2 linked regions of the Oryzias latipes genome follow. The protein of the gene in region 1 interacts with the protein of each later gene in a biochemical or structural test. Links are inferred from orthologs where the notes say so. Each region holds a gene or a part of one and is shown on either strand. Other genes may lie near its edges.

Region 1 (4,321 bases):
CACCCACACTGACAGACTCCTTCCACTCTGCTGCTCTCATGAATAATTCTGTTTCACCAAAACAAGCTGGTTCCCTCAGTAAACAGGCTTTGGATCATTTGCATTCAAATACACAATACAGATCCTTCTCCATTCTACACTTTCAACAGGAGGAAAGATTGAGCAATCAGCTGCAGGACTGCATTTGTGGAATTTGTAGGAGATATATCTGTAGACGGGCTTTAACAGAAAACACCCTTTCGAAAAATTCACCGCTGCCCCACCCAACAATCAGATAGAATTTTTTATTTAAAGATACTTGTATTTCCCAAATACCAAATGACTTTTATCCATGTTTATTCTAACCTGTGAATTGCAAATCCAAGTTCCTGTTTGGGTACATGGATTCCAGCAGCAGGAAAATTCCTGTTTATGCAATAGGCATACTAAAGAATGACTCGGTACTAGTATATTACGTAACATCCAATTTGACTGTGTTGTTACTTTCTTTAAGCATGATGTCATCAAATGGAAAAAGCCACATTGCAGTGGGATTTTTGCATGACGACTGCATCCTAAAAACTGTCAAATTACAACTCCACTGCGTTGTTTAGGTGAGAACGAGCTCATTAAGAATGACAGGTTCAAATTGAAGCAGCACGTGTCACACTCACCATCTAAACATGTTTCTGTGGTTTTGACTTACGTATAATATATAATCTCAACTCATTTTCACTAACAAACTGGCTTAATCCCAAACTATTCAACCAATTCTTAGCATAAAAAGGTTTGACTAAAAACAGGTGTAAAGAAAATGTGGGATTTTGGGGATTCAGCCATACTTTCCGTGTTTTGAATACTGTACTCTGATGTTTGCGATCCGTTCCCAAAAATAACAGTGAGGATATCTGTGACATCCAAGATTGCTGACTCGCAATCTTTATACATTTACTGGAGTTTAAAAAAAAAACTACTACTTAGGTCATGTAATAATCGCTCTACAATGTAAGAATAATGTTGAGTTTTACATATATAAACTAAACAAATTGAATGTTCTACCGTCATCGGAAGAGACAAATCTTCATAGTTAAGTTAATTCTCATTCATTACGTAAAAAGACACCCGCACAGCAGCCTTTCAGGCATCATTTAGATCAAACAATAAGAATGGTGGTTTGATGGTGATAAGGAAAATACTCCATCACCTTGGATGGTGGGAGGATCTCATCCACTCCTTCACTGTCGCTCGCCTCCATGTCTTCTCCGCAAGAGCTAAATGAAGGGACAAGTTAGCGTTGGTTAGCATTCTGCACAGCAGGGGCAGCACTGTGGCTTTAAGGTCTGCAGGCAAACACCAGGAGGGTTTGACTACCAGAAAAAACAAATGCTTCAATCTGTAAGCCATTTTGACAGTTGCTGGTATAGGAAAGAAGAATGAGTAAATATCCGCACTACAATAATATGTGTCAACAACCATAAAATATAGATTTGATCCATAAAAAATTAGCAGCAGGGAGAAACGTACTCGTTCCAGTGCGCTCTTTTTCTGTTGTTTCTTTGCTGTGTGGCAGACTGAATGAGCAGGGAGTCTGGGGTGAAGGGGTTAAAGTTCACCAGGGGAACCTGCTGTCTCCTCCTGGTGCTGTCTGTGGCTGACTTTCCAGGAGACTCCACCTTTTTGAACAGGGCGATTCTCCTGCTGGAGGACAGGGAGCCGGAGCCCCGAGCTCTGGAGAGCAAACTCTGTGGAGGAAAAAAGAGCTGTGTTATTCCAAAAAAAATAAGGTTTTTTTTTTATTTAAAATGAATGATACATAATCAATGTCCTGCAAAGACATGGACATGTTCAGTAATATATAGGATGATCTGATTACAGAAGGCATTGTGTAATAATTGGGTCACTGAGTTTAACTGACTCAGCACCGAGTATACATGGAGAACAGTAAAGTAAACAAAAGCAAAAGAAAAAAATATATTATTTTGCTGTACACTTTTGCATAATTATAGAATGTCCTCAGAACCGACCTTTGGTGTATGCGGTGTGTCAAAAAGTCTGAGTTTTCGGAAGGTTTTGTGTGGAGGGGTGTCCGGGCAGTCCGGGATGGGAGAGCTGGATCCTTCCCCGTCGTCCTGGACGAAGCTATGCTCCGGCGAGCCCCCGTACAACCTGGGGCTCTTCCTCGGCGATGGGCAGTTCGTGTAAATGACACTGTTCGGTGACTGCAGGTGCGACGACGGGGAGTCGAGGCTCTCTTCGTCCCACAGCTCCACGTCGTCGTCCCCTCCAGAGTGATTCAGGGGGCTGCTGTTGCTAGTTCCCCGCAGCTTGTCGGCGGCGGCGCCCCGTCGGACTGGCATGGGGGAATCCATGTCCGTGAAGCCGGACTCGCCCCCAATGCTGCTGTTAACATCCTCAATAGAATCCTCCTCTCCGTCGCTGGATGTGAACTGCAGTTTCTGGCGAATGTGGAGGCTCTTGGGAGGAGTTCCGAGACGTCTTCGAGTGCAAGTCGACATTTTCAGAGTTTAAACCCCTGCTTCGTCGACAACACGGGCAGCTAAATGCGCGACTAGTCCAAAAATGTGACGATAGCAGTGTTTTTCGCTCAATAAACCAATGTATAATTACCTTTAAACAAAGGTATCGGCTGAAAGGGAATCGAAAAACAACGTTTTAAAAGAAAAATCACCCTCATTGGGTGCTCGCGAATTCCGACACGCTAGTAAAAGATGGCCACGGATTAGCTTAAAGGCACTGCCGAAACAGTTTCTTAAACTAGCATCAACTTTAAAAAAAATAAAGCTACGTCTGAGTACCAGGCAAATATCGGTCTCCGTCCGTCTGGAGTCGATGACTCACTGACCCAGGAACCAGTCTGTCCCCGATAAAAACTTAGTAATGTTTACAAAAAGTTTGAATGAGTCAAGAACTAGGTTCTTCCCATCACGCGCGTGGCAAAGGACTTCCCGCGACCGTTGATCACATGTGACTGGGAAACCAATCAGGGATCGTCGTTGAATTTTGAAACATGGGCGTTCCTGGAGGATTACGTCATTGGTGGCCGTGCGACAATCTGGCGGGAACGTGCAACTTCCACATGTTGCCATAACTTTCTAGACTGGAAGCCATTTAATGTAATTATGAGACAATGGGTTCATTTTCAAAAGTTAACGAAAAGAGATCAAAACACTAGAAAAGTTAAAGACTGAATCCCCACATTATTCTATCAACTTAAAAGTATGTAAAAACTGGTCAGACAAATATGTTAGGGGATTCATTTTTAACAATTTGATTTATATCACAAGTTGTGGTTGCTGTTTTGATTTATAGTCTATACCGATTCGTTTTTAAAGATCAAATTTGATTCGATTAACTGATTGTTTAGTCAAAACTTCAACCAGAACCAGTGTAACAGAGATAAATACCTGGTACTGAACAGTGCAGGTGAAGTTTTCCACATTCCTTGCATTTCTTCCAAGATAATCAAGTGTAAATTAAATTGTGTCAAACAAACAAGTAAACTAGAATGAATTTCAAATCCATTCAATTTTTAGTTTCCTAAAGTTCAGCCTCTGTTGTTTCTCCACATCCAAATAATCCAAAGGGAACATCATTAGAACATTCTAGCACACTGTTTGGTCACATGACTTTGCTAAATTCAACGCGTTTCCACACATTGTAATGATGGAGCGATCCGTTTCTACTGACACGTGTGTTGTCCGTTGTGATAGTACTTGGTCTTTTTCTGTTATAGTAAAATAAATCTACCAAACCTCAATTCAAATGTTTTCCAATATTGATTATAATTAATTCATTTCATTTTGAAACAATTTTATAATAACAGGTTTATTTGATTAACTTGCGTCAGACAGATTGATCTGGTTAGATCATAGGAATATAAATAAATTTGATTAATCTTTACACCCCTAATATGTGCAGGAAGATTTTCTATGTTTTGAGTTTTTTTTAAGTTGATGCTTGAATTGTGGTATAGCTTCTGCAAAATTTGACACCTTTTGAGAGACTTTTAGTCCTAATTACAATTGTTCAAAGGTTTGCTACTATGAAAATCAAGCAACAATGACACAAAAAAGCTTTTATAAGTTTTTTAGGAAATAGCAAAACCTGTACACTGCATGTGCACTATAGACATAAAGCATTATTGTGTCTTTCCTTCTTTACATTTTCTGCATCAACTTAATTTTAAGGATCAGGAACAAAACAGCATGGCAAACTCCAGTTATCAAAAATCCTATGTACACGTAAAAGCTAAGTTAAACTGTGGAAAAAAATGAACAAGGAGGAAAACTGATGATTTTTTCTCAACACCGAAGTCCATTTC
Region 2 (4,540 bases), on another chromosome or scaffold:
TTGTGCAGCAGAAGATAATATCTGCTTCATTTAATAATCAATATTGAACAGCTTTGATGGTAGATTAAACCTTTTACTATCATTTTGGTCAGTTATCAGATATGTTTGAACTTTATGAGGAGTGGAAAATGACACAAGACCTCTTATATTTAATGTGGATGTTAACAGTGGTATATAAAAATTTTTTTTACTAATACTAGCTCACCTCAGTTAAAAAATCCAAACATAATGACAAAGCTTAAAAATATTTTTCAATTTTATTCAAAACTTCAGAATTTAGAGTGATAAGAGCCACGTGTGGCTCCAGCCTAAGACCTTGCTTTTTAGGTTTTCAAATACTAAAGAAATTAGAGGGCAAATCGGTCCTTTCTGCATCAGCTTAGTAAAGGTCAAGTCAGTGCGTCAAAAGGATACAGTCACCGAGAGACACGTGATCCTTGAAGATGGTGTACCTATTAAAACAAGAACACATTTTCTAAGTAAAGAAGCCAAAAAGGGCAATGTTCATTGTGATGCAAAGAAGAAAAAGGCAAAGGAAGGCAAAGTTACCATTTCTTTAGTACAATTTTGTCATATCTTGTTCCCGTCTGTGCTGCAATTAGTTTCTTCAGGTCTCCAATTGTGTCCTCTGAGCTGTGCAAGGATGTTGAGGAGCAATTTGGTGACGTGGAAAACCCTTCAAAACAAACACTTCCAGCTTTCATGTCCTGAATGTTTTCAGTCTTTAGATTTTAAATAGAGCTGCATGATGGTGCAATGGGGAAGGCCCTGGTTCCAAACCCTGCTGGGACCCTTCTGTGTGGAGTTTGCTTGTTGCAGAGAAACCCCATGCACTCCGGCTTCCTCCCACAGTCGAAAATACATGATTCATAGGTTACCTGGTTATTCTAATGTAGGCCCAAATGGTTATTCTAATGAACCCCAAATGGGTTCATAAGGAAAGGGTCCATCCATAGCACGGTTACTGTGCTATGGATGGACCATAGCACAGTAACCCCCCCCCCCCTTAACTAATCAGAACCAGCATGTTGCAGTGCAGTATTAACAGCCAAAACATCTTTAGCAGATCAGCAAATCAAATGTGTTCAGAAGGATACTTGCACTTGACCCGGACTTTCTTCCCAAGACGATCGTTGCAAATCACCTCAATCATCGTGTACTGTGAAAAAAAGAGGAGCTAGTAAGCTGAAATATTGGAGTTATGAACAGGAACGACATTAATCGTTCACACCACTAACATTAAGTCAAAAGAATGTGTAATTCATTTTGCGTCAACAGCAGAAACTAAATTGACGATGAAATTCGACCAGCCATGATTTTTTTAGCTAACCCGTTAGCTTGTGCACACAACTCTTTTAAATATATAAAACATAAATTAGATGGCGCCTATTAAGATCAACTTAAGGTTTCAAAAATGTTGCCAGACGTGTTAAAAAGATCAAAAAGTGTAAAACATACGTTAAATGTAGCCCAAGATTGATGGATTTTCTTCACTAGTTGAAACCTTCTGGAAAGCTCTCGGTGCTCATCACCGTAGAATCGATGTCGCGTGTTATTGTCCTCTTAACCAATTAGATAGTAAGAAATATGATTGACAAGAGTTGAAGACCAATAGTAGGACGGACAAGCCGTTTGGGGGCGGGCCAAACTCAGAAAACAACTTTTGCCGTAAACCGACTGTCGTACCTGCTGAGCCGTAGCCGTGTCGCATCGTTTGAACGTTGAATTCTAACTTGATAACGTTGCAGCAGATAACATGGCAGACGAGGAGAATTTACCGTCGGGATGGGAGAAAAGAATGAGCCGTAGTTCAGGTAAATATACATAAGACGGGGGAGGCTGAATGTATGAGCTCAACTGCAGCCCACGAGAAGTTGATTTAGCTTATAGCTAGCCCGTGCATCGTGGTAAGCGAGGCTTTGTGAACTTGTTTCAGGTGAGGCTGTCCTGCTAATGCATGCATCGGGGTTACCGACACGGTTTCTATCAGGAAAAGTGCCGCTGGGAAAATACGGTTATGCTACGGTTTGCTTTATAACTAGCTTTTCCCCCACTTTTTTTTCTAATGGAGATGTTCTGCAGGGCCGCCGTTGCATGACGTCACCTGGAATTTGCGCAGACGCAGCTTAGACCTGATGTCTTGAAAGTATTTTGTGAATATATACGCACAGTAAAACTGACAATTTGGGGAATATTTTGTAAACAAGATCACTTTACATTTTTTTCATATATAGGTAATTATTTAACTTTGAGAAATCTACTAAACTTTCAGATCCCCCCCAAAATGTGATTTATTTCTGCAGATACGTCTGTTTATCTGATTTCTCTTCTTCTTTTACAGAAAATCTGTTTGGGTAGATGATTGCCTTGTAAAAACTTTAGGTGTTTTTTTTTCTGTTTTATTTGTGTGTTTCTTTTCAATGGAGTAAAAAGGAAGGATTGCAAAGGAACAGCTTTTTGCAGACCTATAAACTAAATTGAACACTGTCAGCAGTTGATGCATTGGTTTTATTCAAAACCATGCAACTTCATGACCAACTACTATGAAACAACAATAATACCGATACGGGGAATTGTGAGTGCTTTTGCAGTTTTAGTGGGTAAGGTCATGTAAACTGTAATTTGATTTTTGTGTCTTCTAATGTCTTGGATCATTCCAAAGGTGCTGATCAAACTGCTTTCTTTGCTGTTTGTAGGCAAGGTGTACTACTTTAACCACATCACTAATGCCAGCCAGTGGGAACGTCCTGTGGGAGATGGCCGTGGAGAGCCAGATAAGGTGGACTTCATTTTGTGTGTTTTATTAGCAATACATTTAGGATTGAAATCATAATAAATTCACTAAAGAAGTATTTGTAGAGCTTGTGATAGTGATGTACCGGTAATGATTAGTTTTAATGACATTCATATTAGGGCTGCACCATATGAGGAAAACTCGCCATATTAGTGATCAATATTGCGACGACGATAAAACATTCATGAACAAATAGCAAAACGACTAAAAACATCATTTCCATTTTACTGCAACAGTTTAATTTAAATAAGAGTCAACATAACTTAAATTATACTCCAAATGACCCTCGTCTACATAGGAGGCGAACGTCTAACCTAAGAAAAGCTTCAAAATAAATAAATAAAAGAGCCCCATCTGATTGGTCAATTTATTTGATTCGTTAAATACTCCAATATTTGTTTTAGCACATTTAAAGTAAACATTTATTGCTATTTTTGACGACTTTTGCAATATGCGAATTGCACAGCTTGAAATTGCGATAATGATACATTTGCGTTTTGTTGTGCAGGTCTAATTCATATGATCACTTGTGGTTTCCAGTACGATTTTATGGTCAATATTGGTTCAATCTAACTAACACTTGGTTGTTATTATGTTATAGTAAAGTAAACCGTCCCTTAAGCCAAATGGTATTTCCCGATATGGAAATAATATATTTATTTTAATTTGAAACAGTTTTATAATGTAATAGATCGATTCAATTAACAAATGCCTCAGACAGATTGTTCTGCTTGGATCGTAGGAATATAAATCGATTGATTGATCAGGTCAATTAGTCATTACACCCCTGCACAGAAACATTTTATAACACTTTCTAACAAATAGGTGATGATGTATTGTGTATCTTTTTGTGTTTCCTCCTTTCTCTCTCTCAGGTGCGATGCTCCCACCTCCTAGTAAAACATAATCAGTCTCGACGTCCTTCTTCCTGGAGGGAACAAAATATAACACGAACTAAAGAAGAGGCTATAGAGCTTATTCAGAGTAAGTAAGGCAGAGGACAGAAACACCAGATCTGTTTCAAATCTCTACTTAATCTGTCTTTTTTTTGGTTCTGTTTTCTAGAGTACATAGACGAAATCAAATCTGGGCATGAGTCTTTTGAATCTCTAGCCTCTCAGTTCAGCGACTGCAGCTCAGCTAAGAACGGTGGAGATCTGGGACTGTTTGCCAGAGGTACCAACATCATAATGGGAATATTGGGTTTTCTTAGTTTTAGTTCTTCAGCTTTTATGTAGTTATAAGGTAGTATTGTCCTAATATTTACAGTTTTTTAAGTAAAAATGCTTTCTAATTTTAGTTAAAAAATGCTTAATAATTAACTCTGTTTATAAGGTTTCCTCTCCAGCAAAAGCCTCATAAACTTTTTTACTCTGTCTATTTGTTGGTCTCTCAACATTGCTTTGTTGCATTTGCCAGGACAATTCTTATCACTTACTCTGGCACGGGTTGTCTTTTCTGTTGAATCAACCCACAAATGCCAAACTGAAGAGAAATTACACATAATGCTTATATTATACGTATTAGAAAACATGCAATTTAGTTTTAGTCTTCCTAAAATACCCAATTTAGTCTAAGTTGGCTTACGTCTGCATGTTTGCATTCATGATCTACATTTAACTCAAACCTCATCACCCACCTGATTAAAAAAAAAAGATAATGACTAGTAGCACTAACAACTGTAAAGTTTATTAAACATAACAATGTGTCTACCGTATTTTCCGGACTATAAGTCGCCCTTTTTTT

What was found.
Region 2: the proteins of wee1 (region 1) and pin1 form a complex in vitro, tested with the Homo sapiens proteins (2 studies listed by BioGRID, with this or other methods). The link is inferred for Oryzias latipes from reciprocal best matches to the Homo sapiens genes WEE1 and PIN1.

What each region holds. Positions count from the first base shown.
Region 1 is NC_019864.2:7,432,045-7,436,365, forward strand, and holds the start of wee1 (wee1-like protein kinase), read right to left. Parts: upstream 2,956-4,321; 5' UTR 2,496-2,955; coding exon 2,004-2,495; intron 1,722-2,003; coding exon 1,504-1,721; intron 1,251-1,503; coding exon 1,184-1,250; intron 1-1,183. UniProt on the Homo sapiens protein: Acts as a negative regulator of entry into mitosis (G2 to M transition) by protecting the nucleus from cytoplasmically activated cyclin B1-complexed CDK1 before the onset of mitosis by mediating phosphorylation of CDK1 on 'Tyr-15'.
Region 2 is NC_019859.2:22,494,219-22,498,758, reverse strand, and holds the start of pin1 (peptidyl-prolyl cis-trans isomerase NIMA-interacting 1), read left to right. Parts: upstream 1-1,655; 5' UTR 1,656-1,686; coding exon of another isoform or gene 1,687-1,711; 5' UTR 1,712-1,756; coding exon 1,757-1,814; intron 1,815-2,696; coding exon 2,697-2,779; intron 2,780-3,669; coding exon 3,670-3,778; intron 3,779-3,859; coding exon 3,860-3,970; intron 3,971-4,540. Other genes in the region: ubl5 (ubiquitin-like protein 5), read right to left, coding at 415-452, 550-633, 1,098-1,159, 1,459-1,562, 1,687-1,711. UniProt on the Homo sapiens protein: Peptidyl-prolyl cis/trans isomerase (PPIase) that binds to and isomerizes specific phosphorylated Ser/Thr-Pro (pSer/Thr-Pro) motifs.